Canis lupus familiaris: one gene and its partner. The protein of the gene in region 1 binds, or shares a complex with, the protein of each later gene. Links are inferred from orthologs where the notes say so. Each region holds a gene or a part of one and is shown on either strand. Other genes may lie near its edges.

Region 1 (4,338 bases):
TTGAAAGTTTGTTTGTTTGTTTGTTTGTTTGTTTATTTATTTATTTATTTATTTTCAGTAACTCTACATCCAAAGTGGGGCTCAAACTCACGACCCTGAGGTCAAGAGTCACGTGTTCTTCTGACTGAGCCAGCCAAGGCGCCCCTGGACGCTTACTAGAATTCTCTGTTCTCCAGCCAGACTTTCCCACGAGTAGGTTCCTTCCAACCTCCATTCAAATCTGGTCTCACAAAGTTCCCTCGACATGGGTAGAATTTGAGCCATTTCCATGAATTCTATGTTTACTAAAGACTTCCCTCCCAAATAAACGGTATCCTTGAGCAAAGTGAGGAAGCAGGGGCCATTCCTATGCTGGAAAACTGAGGCCAGGAGAGATCCACCCAAGGTTGCACACAGCAGGGGGTAGCTGAAAATAGAACCTGGGAGGCCTCAGATTCTTCACAGTTTACTGCTAAAGCTCTACCCATGCCTTCCAGGCCACAGATAGGAGCTTCAGTGTTGTTTTAAAGAGAACAGAACGAGGGCACAGGATCTGGGGTGGAGGAACGAGTAACTGCCAGTGTCACGTACCAGACAACTCTAGCTGCAGGGCCCTCTGCACAGCAGCGTGCTGCAGAGCGATGAGCTCATCAATCCCCAAGGAATAACTCTCTGCTGCCCTGGACAGCTGGACCAAGGACAAACACTCTTTCAGTTAAGAAAAAACAAATACCCGAGAACAGCAGTTGTTTCTGTGGTTATGGGTGCATTCCAGAACTGTCCGTGTTCTGCTGCTGGCAATGTTAATTAATTCCTGCAAGGGCAGGGGCAGGGGCAGGTGCTGGGGCTGGGCCAGGGGCTGGGGCAGGCTGGTTCTGGGTGGCATCTGAATAATGGAGAGAATGGTTTAGGAGAACTGAGACTCCCAAAGGCACTTATAACACGGGCTACGATGAAGGAAGCCAGCATGAGGACAGGACTCAACCTCAGAAAGCCTGCTGGTCTGCAATCTGCTAGACTCTGGCAGGTTACAGATCCCTGAAGGCTGCCCCCAGACCCTGGGGTAATCTCTGGGAGCATTTAGCCAAGCCCCAGAGGACACCAATCTCAGCTACACTGGGCTGCAAGGGTAGTTCCCAGGCTTGCCCACAAGGGGTCAGAGTAGTCAATTAAGAGGTTAACCATGATGGCTCCCAAAATAAAGCCTCCTGCTGACATGTCATCTTCCTTCTCAACCATGGCATCCCTCACGAAGTCTACAGAGGGCTGGCTGTGTTCATGCTCCTTCCTCATGGCCTGGTTATCAACCCTCTAAGGGATCCACTTGATATACAGCCAGCACTAGCATCACATCCCTTCCCCTGGCCCGTTGTGCTACCCTGCCAGTCCCCTGCAGAAAACCCAAATCGTCTTCCTCAGACAGCACAGGGCCTGGCCCCCAGCTGCCTTATACTCACAGGGTGTGTCCATATTCTCAACTTTTCCCCACTCGGTTCCTCTGCTGGCTTCATTCACATTTCGTCATCCTTTGGCTCTCTGCACTTTCACAGATTCCCCCAGCTTCCACAAGTCCTGTGACAACTACCAGTCCTTTCCCCCTTCCCTAGCAAATTCCTTTTCCCCCTTGTTTTCTGTTTTCTTTTATTATTTTCTTTTCTTTTCTTTTTTATTATTTTATTTTTTACTTACTCTGAGCAACGTTCTGGGGTCCCAGAGCCTTTTATATGGAACTGGGGTAAGTTCCCAGTTTCCATCGACATTGCTTTGGGAAACCCAGAGCAGTGGCAGGGTCGCCCACTCCGAGATGCAGCCCCTCCCTTACCACTCCCTTCTATTTTCATTTAGACTCCCAAATGAAAGCTCTATGCTTTGTCTCTTACTTTTGATCAGTATGTGGAGCCTCTATCACAAAACTGCTCTGAGGGCTGCGCCTGGAGAGGCTTAGTACCCCAGATGTGACCACTCAAACGCGTGTCCCTTTCACACAGCACACGACCCCACAGTTAACGCAGTCATCCAAACACTGCAGCCTAGATGAGACAGAAAGAAAAGCCACAAGAAAAATATGTATTCCCCACAATCCTCCGCTTAGAGAATCCTTCTTCCTGTCACGAGTGCGACTTCTGCATTCCCTGTGGATTCCCCTCTTCCTGTACCCAGTGCCGTCTGTCTACCTCCAAGCTCCTCCTTACACAGCAGGAACTTTACTCTCCTATTCCTCCCTGATTCTTGGGCCGCACTGCTGTCCTCTCCAGCACCCACACCTCGTCCTGGCCCCATGTGTGGCATGACGCTGAGCCCGGTCCCCACCTTCCCGGTCCCCTACCTCCGCTTGTACTCGTCCCGCTCGCGCTTCACTTTAGCCAGGACGTTGTAGAGCGCGCGGATCTCGGGGGTGATGGTGTCGATCTGGACGCCCACCCCGTCGGGATGCACCCACGACAGGCCAGGCCCCTGCACCAGCGTGGGCTCCAGTCCCGGCCCGAGCCGGCGGGCGTGAGAGAAGGACCAGATGGTGCCGGGCATGAAGCGGGCTGACGAGGAGTAGGAGGTGGAGGTGGAGGTGGAGGGCGACGAGTGGCAGGCCGCGGAGGGCACGAGGGGGCCGGCTGGCGACCGCGCGGGCGAGCCAAGCACCCGCGCCGACGGGGTGCAGACGGCGGCCGGCCGGGCGCTCAGGGGCAGCCCAAGGGGCCGGATGGGGCTGACGAAGCCGGTCTGCACGGCCTGGTCGCGGCGAGCCAGGCCCCGCCGGCCCTGCTTACCCTCCTCCAGCGCCTGCTGCAGCTGCTTCTCTAGCAGCCGGTTGCGGCGCTCCAGCTCGTGCACCTTGGCCAGGAAGCAGCGGAAGCGGAGGTTCAGGGTCTTGAGCACGTTGATGTTGGAGCCCAGGTCGTTGCGGAGAGCCATGGCGGCGGGGGGGGCCGGGCCCGGCCCGGGCGGCGAGTAGGCAGCCGGGCCGGCCGGGGCGAGCGACGACGGGGACACGTCCCCTCCCCCGGCGAAATGGTCGCCTCCCAGAGGGTCCCCCAGCGGCCCGGCCAGGCCCTGCTGCTCCTGCTGCAGGAGGAAGAGATTGGGGCCGAATAACGGATTCATGGTGGCGTCTTCTGCTGGGAGACGGACACCGCTACAGGAGCAGGGATGGAGGGCGAGGGGGAAGAGCCAATGAGGCGCCAGGCGGACGCGGGGCAACCAATCAGACGGCCCGGCGGTAGGGGCAGAGGTCACGGGGGCGGGGCAGGGGAGAGAGGAAGCCAATGAACGGCCGGGCTGGAGGCTGGCACCGGGATCTTTCCGGGTCTGAGGCTGGCGGACCCCAGTCCATGCCTTCAAGCCAGGGTGGCACAGAGGAAGAAAATCCAGGTCCCTTGCTACTCCATGGGTTCTGGCAGGATGCCCATCCCCTCTACACCCCCATTGCCCTCCTCTCCCCAGAATCCAAACTGACTCCAGACCCTGAGCCCCTGAGGAGACAGGGAGCCCAAGAGCCTGAAACTCATTTCTCAGTAGACTACATTATTTTCTCTCTTCAGAGGGGCCCTGCCCCACCCTCCCGCCACTACTCTTCAAGCAACAAAGCCAGTACCCAGTCCCCTCAAAAAACACACAGTGGCCAGAGATTATAAAATGTGTATTAGATTTCATACGCAGTGGGGACACCAGCCTCACAGAGGTTAAGAGTTCCAACCCTGTGCCAACAGCAGTAAGCCACCCCAGTCTAGTACCAGCCATTCATCTAAGACAACACTGGATGGCTGCTGCCTCTGGACTGAGATTTTCTCCTCTTTGCTGGTGGGGGCTGGCTGGAATCAAGGGGGGACATGGCGGGAGTCTCAGGTCCCTTGGGGGTGCCATTCTGTTTCCGGAAGGCAGCTCTCTTGGAAGGCTGTGCTGGCAACTGCTGCTTTACTTTCTTGGTCCCTCTGGTGCTTCTAAGGGGCTGAACCCAGTCCTCAGGCTTGAGTGTGTCCTGGGTCTTGGAAAGGGATAGCACAGGCACTTCTGTGTCCGTGCCCTTAGGAGGGCCATTCGGCTTCCGGAAGGCAACCTTCTTGGAGGATAGCAGCGTAGCTGATTGTTGCTTTAGTTTCTTAGTCACCTTTGGTCCCCTGATCTCTTGAGTTGGCTGACTGCTGTCCTGGAGCTTGGAAGAAGCTTGGGACTTTGTGTCACAAGATACAGTGGACAATCCTGAGTCTGTCCCTTTGGAGATGCCATTCTGCTTCTGGAAAGAGGCCTTTTTGGGATGTTGCCGTTTCTGCAACTGCTGCTTTGTTTTCATAGCCACTCTGGCCTTCTTGGCAGGCTGGCTGCTGCCCTCAGGTTTGGGGGTCACCTGGCCCTTCACCTCAGGCA
Region 2 (3,850 bases), on another chromosome or scaffold:
AACATCATAATGCTGTAAGAGAGGACTGGCATTAAAAATGAGATGGGAAGGATGCTATGTACTTCTTAGTTACTAAATGTTTAAGAGAAGAATAGTGTTCTCCAAATTGTTGATAAGTTCATAATTGAGAATAAATTTTGTACTCTTCACAATAATACTCTGTGCCAGCCAACCCCCGCTCCCTAGCTTTGTCTATAAAGTGTTATCCAGTTTGATAATTGGAAGTTTGGTTGAAAGAAAATCTTAAAGGTTTGCTAAAACCAAGCACGGTTAAGTCATAGGTTGACAGTTATTCTGTTGTTTGTTCTTCTATCACAGACATGTTACCTTCGACAGTGTAGCTGTGATTAACTGTATTCTTTTTTTTTTTTGATTAACTATATTCTTTAGACAAATTATATAATATTGTATTTTGATATTTTCATTTTTGTCCATGTGTTGTATCAAATGTTAATTTTAATAAAGGTTTTGAAATGTGCTTGTTAGTTAAGTGCACATAATCTTTCAATTAATAATTATTGAAGTTATTTAATGGAAATTAAAATACATTTAAATCAGGTAAGTAACTAATTGGTTACTGTTCCTAAAATTTTATATAATATCCAAAATTTTTGTTGTACATTTTTATAATTGGTTTTTTACTTTGCCTTTGAATAAAGCATCTTATAGTATACTCATGTATATTCTATTCAGCTTTTAAAATTTTTGTTACTATGTTACATTAGAAAATAGTACAAGAAGATGAGATACAATGTTTATATAACATTTCACATCTGATATAAAAATGCAGTGAGTGATATGTCCCTGCCTAAAATAAGCCATTGATATTGGCAGCCCCTCTTCAACTTTGGCTCTGCTTTATTTCCTCATACTTTTTGGTGTACTTCTTTCTCAAAGACATTTTCTTGATGAAAGGAGTACTGTTATATTAATATTTACCACAGTTTTTTTTTTTCAGAAGCTGAAGGAGATGAAAAATTTTGCTCTTACAATGGTAAATAGCTGTCAAAGGAATGAAAAATATATTCAGAATCACTGATTCTCCATTACCTTATAAGATGTCCATATTAACACAATTAATTTTTCTAATAGCTACTCCACACCTGTCAAATGCCAAACGCTGTCTTAGGCAGTAAAGATAAAGCAGTCAATAAAACACATCTGCTCTCCGCATTTATAGAGTTCACAGCCTGGCAGTGATTCTACTATAAGGGTATTGTAATTGCTCCCAGAAAATATACTGTTTTTTGTTCCTTTTCATTCCATAAGAGGCCCTAATTCTTTGTATCTCTAGATAGAAAGGTTGTTGAAAGCACAGGGACATATATATCAAAGGTATCAAATTTTGACATTTTTGTTTATAATTTTTCAGTGAAAAATTATATATTTAAACATATCTACATAAATACATATATAATGAAAATACTAGAATACCTGTGTAGAACAACAGAAGTATAAAAAGACTACGTTTAAAAGAATACATGAAATAATTTATCTTTGAATTGTTAAAATACAGATTTATTTATGGTTTGTGTGTGTGTGTGTGTGTGTGTGTATATATATATGTATATATATATATATGTATATATATATATATATATATCTTTTTGGGCATTATTTTCCAATATTGATCCTTACCTCACTACGTAAATTACTAACATTGATAAACAATAAATTCTAATTGTTTAATTATCTGTGTAAAACTTTAAATCAATGGAAACCTGTAAAAGTGACTTTTAATTATATTTTCCTTGAAAAGTTTTCTTGAAATAATTTTCAGTATTGGATTGAATAATATTAATACTAAGAAAAACTGGATGATTCATTTATTTGTTTATTTACATTTTAGATTTGAAAAATGTGTGAGTGCTAAGGAAGCTATGGAGACTGATCTTTATCAACGCTTTATTCTGGTGCTGAATGAGAAGAAAGCGAAGATTAGAAGCTTGCATAAATTGTTAAATGAAGTTCAAGAACTAGAAAAGAACATTGAGCATGAAAGGTATTTTGAGTTGTCTGTTTTGAGATGGCAGATACATAAGTTTAAAGGGAATTTTCCCCCAAACTTAATGAAAGTTAGATGCCAGCTTTTTAGTAACATGAGATCATTTGCCAGTCTGAAGTTGAATGCTCTGGCTGTTGGATGCCCTGGGCTGGAGAATTCTCAGCATGATCTCTCTATGTCTAGCTACTGTCATAACTACACTTGAATCCTAAAACTGGAGTATGGTTTATCTAAAGTATTATTTATGTAATTCTTAGACATCATTAAAAGTAACAAAAACTGGGCAGCCTGGATGGCTCAGTGGTTTTGCGCCACTTTCAGCCCAGGTTGTGATCCTGAAGACCCGGGATCGAGTTCCACGTCAGGCTTCCTGCATGGAGCCTGCTTCTCCCTCTGCCTGTGTCTCTGCCTCTCTCTCTCTCTGTGTGTGTCTCTCATGAATAAATAAATAAAAATTAAAAAAAAAAACTTTTATCTTCTGCTAAGCTGCAGGATTGGCACATTTGTAATCTTGGTGTCTGAGTAGTGGTTAATTTTAGAATCAAGTGGCTCTGGGAGTGGATATGTAATTGATTTTTAAGGAAAAATCACAGGTTACTTACACCTTGTATGGTTTGGACAATTATAATTGTTAGAGTCTGATTTTTATTTTATTATTTTATTTATTATTTATCCACTTAATTATTATAGTGGATACAAGTTTGGATCTTGTGTCCTGAGTCTGAGAGAACACACAGGCTTATGAAAGGCATCATCTGAAGAATATAATATTTGATGTCAGATAGTCCTAGTTCAAGTGCTGTCTGGCACTTGATATCTGTTAGTATATGACTTTGGGCAGATAAGTCTATGTTAGTATATGTCTTTTGGGCAAGTAAGAGTTCTTTAAACTCTCTGTGCCTTACTTGGTATCTTCATAATAAGATGAAAGTTACCTCTCTGAGAATTTGGGGCCAATCAAAAGCAGGGCAAAACTATTGTAGATCAGTAAAATACTGAACACATTGTGATCCATAGAAAATAATTTGGAAGCATAGTATTTTTATAGATGAATAATATGATAAGAAACTGATTTAACAGTTAATTACAGTGAGCACTAAACCACATTTAAATTAGGTAGAAGAGAAACTTATTCTTAAGAGAGTTAACATACAGTCTTTAAAGTGCTTTCATCTTAATTATATATATTTCAATATATGTTTGTTTAACTACAGTATTTTTCCAGGGATATTTTTTATTATTACTTACTGGTAAATTTGATCCCTAGCCCAGGGTGAACCAATAATTCATAATTCAACCTTTTCTGTTTCTAGGGAAACCACAGCGTGTTCTGAAATGACAGCTGACAGAGATGCAATCTATGATGAAAGCACTGATGAGGAAAAAGAAAAACTGCCTAATCCCTCTGTGTCGGCTCCAGGTAATAGAAATACATTCATCACCTTTGTTGAATATCTCACTTGGGCTTATTATTGTAAAGATAATAAACCGTAATGAAAAATGTTATGAAAAAAGTCTTCTACAAAATTCTTTAGGGTTTTTAGTCTAAAACCTAGAGTATTTAATGTTAAAATTAATATTTATTATAAAATGCAGCAACTCATAAAACAAGCAAGTATGCGTACAAACATACACACCCAGGAGTACTATTCCTTATTAAAGAAGGGTGCATAATGAATAGGGAAGATATGTGTTCGTGATAGTTATCTTCAGCTAAAAGCTGGCTGCCTTTAACATGTAGATCTTACCTAGCTAGAGCTCTATGGGTGGGTAAGGTGATCCAGAATGCTTCAGATTGTCTTGAGGTTGAGCCTTCTTTCATTATTCAGAAAAGGAGTTTCAATA

Evidence for each region. The genes of interacting proteins can lie anywhere in the genome.
Region 2: the proteins of IFFO1 (region 1) and XRCC4 are in contact, whole or in part, in a crystal structure (PDB 6ABO), measured with the Homo sapiens proteins. The link is inferred for Canis lupus familiaris from reciprocal best matches to the Homo sapiens genes IFFO1 and XRCC4. Residues at the interface, in NP_001317253.1 of Homo sapiens: Arg469, Glu470, Tyr473, Ile477, Gln479, Ile480, Glu481, Glu483, Leu484, Ala487, Lys488, Asp490, Met491, Arg493, His494, Leu495, Tyr498, Met501, Lys505, Leu508, Asp509, Met512, Cys515, Arg516, Leu518, Ile519, Thr520, Gln521; in NP_001304941.1 of Homo sapiens: Trp155, Val158, Gln159, Phe162, Glu163, Cys165, Val166, Lys169, Glu170, Glu173, Leu176, Tyr177, Phe180, Val183, Leu184, Lys187, Lys188, Lys190, Ile191, Leu194, His195, Lys197, Leu198, Ala201, Ala202, Arg205, Glu212.

Annotation. Positions count from the first base shown.
Region 1 is NC_049248.1:7,637,812-7,642,149, forward strand, and holds the start of IFFO1 (intermediate filament family orphan 1), read right to left. Parts: upstream 3,129-4,338; 5' UTR 3,079-3,128; coding exon 2,306-3,078; intron 1-2,305. Other genes in the region: NOP2 (probable 28S rRNA (cytosine(4447)-C(5))-methyltransferase), read right to left, coding at 3,719-4,338. UniProt on the Homo sapiens protein: Nuclear matrix protein involved in the immobilization of broken DNA ends and the suppression of chromosome translocation during DNA double-strand breaks (DSBs).
Region 2 is NC_049224.1:24,558,874-24,562,723, reverse strand, and holds part of XRCC4 (DNA repair protein XRCC4), read left to right. Parts: intron 1-1,849; coding exon 1,850-2,002; intron 2,003-3,318; coding exon 3,319-3,425; intron 3,426-3,850.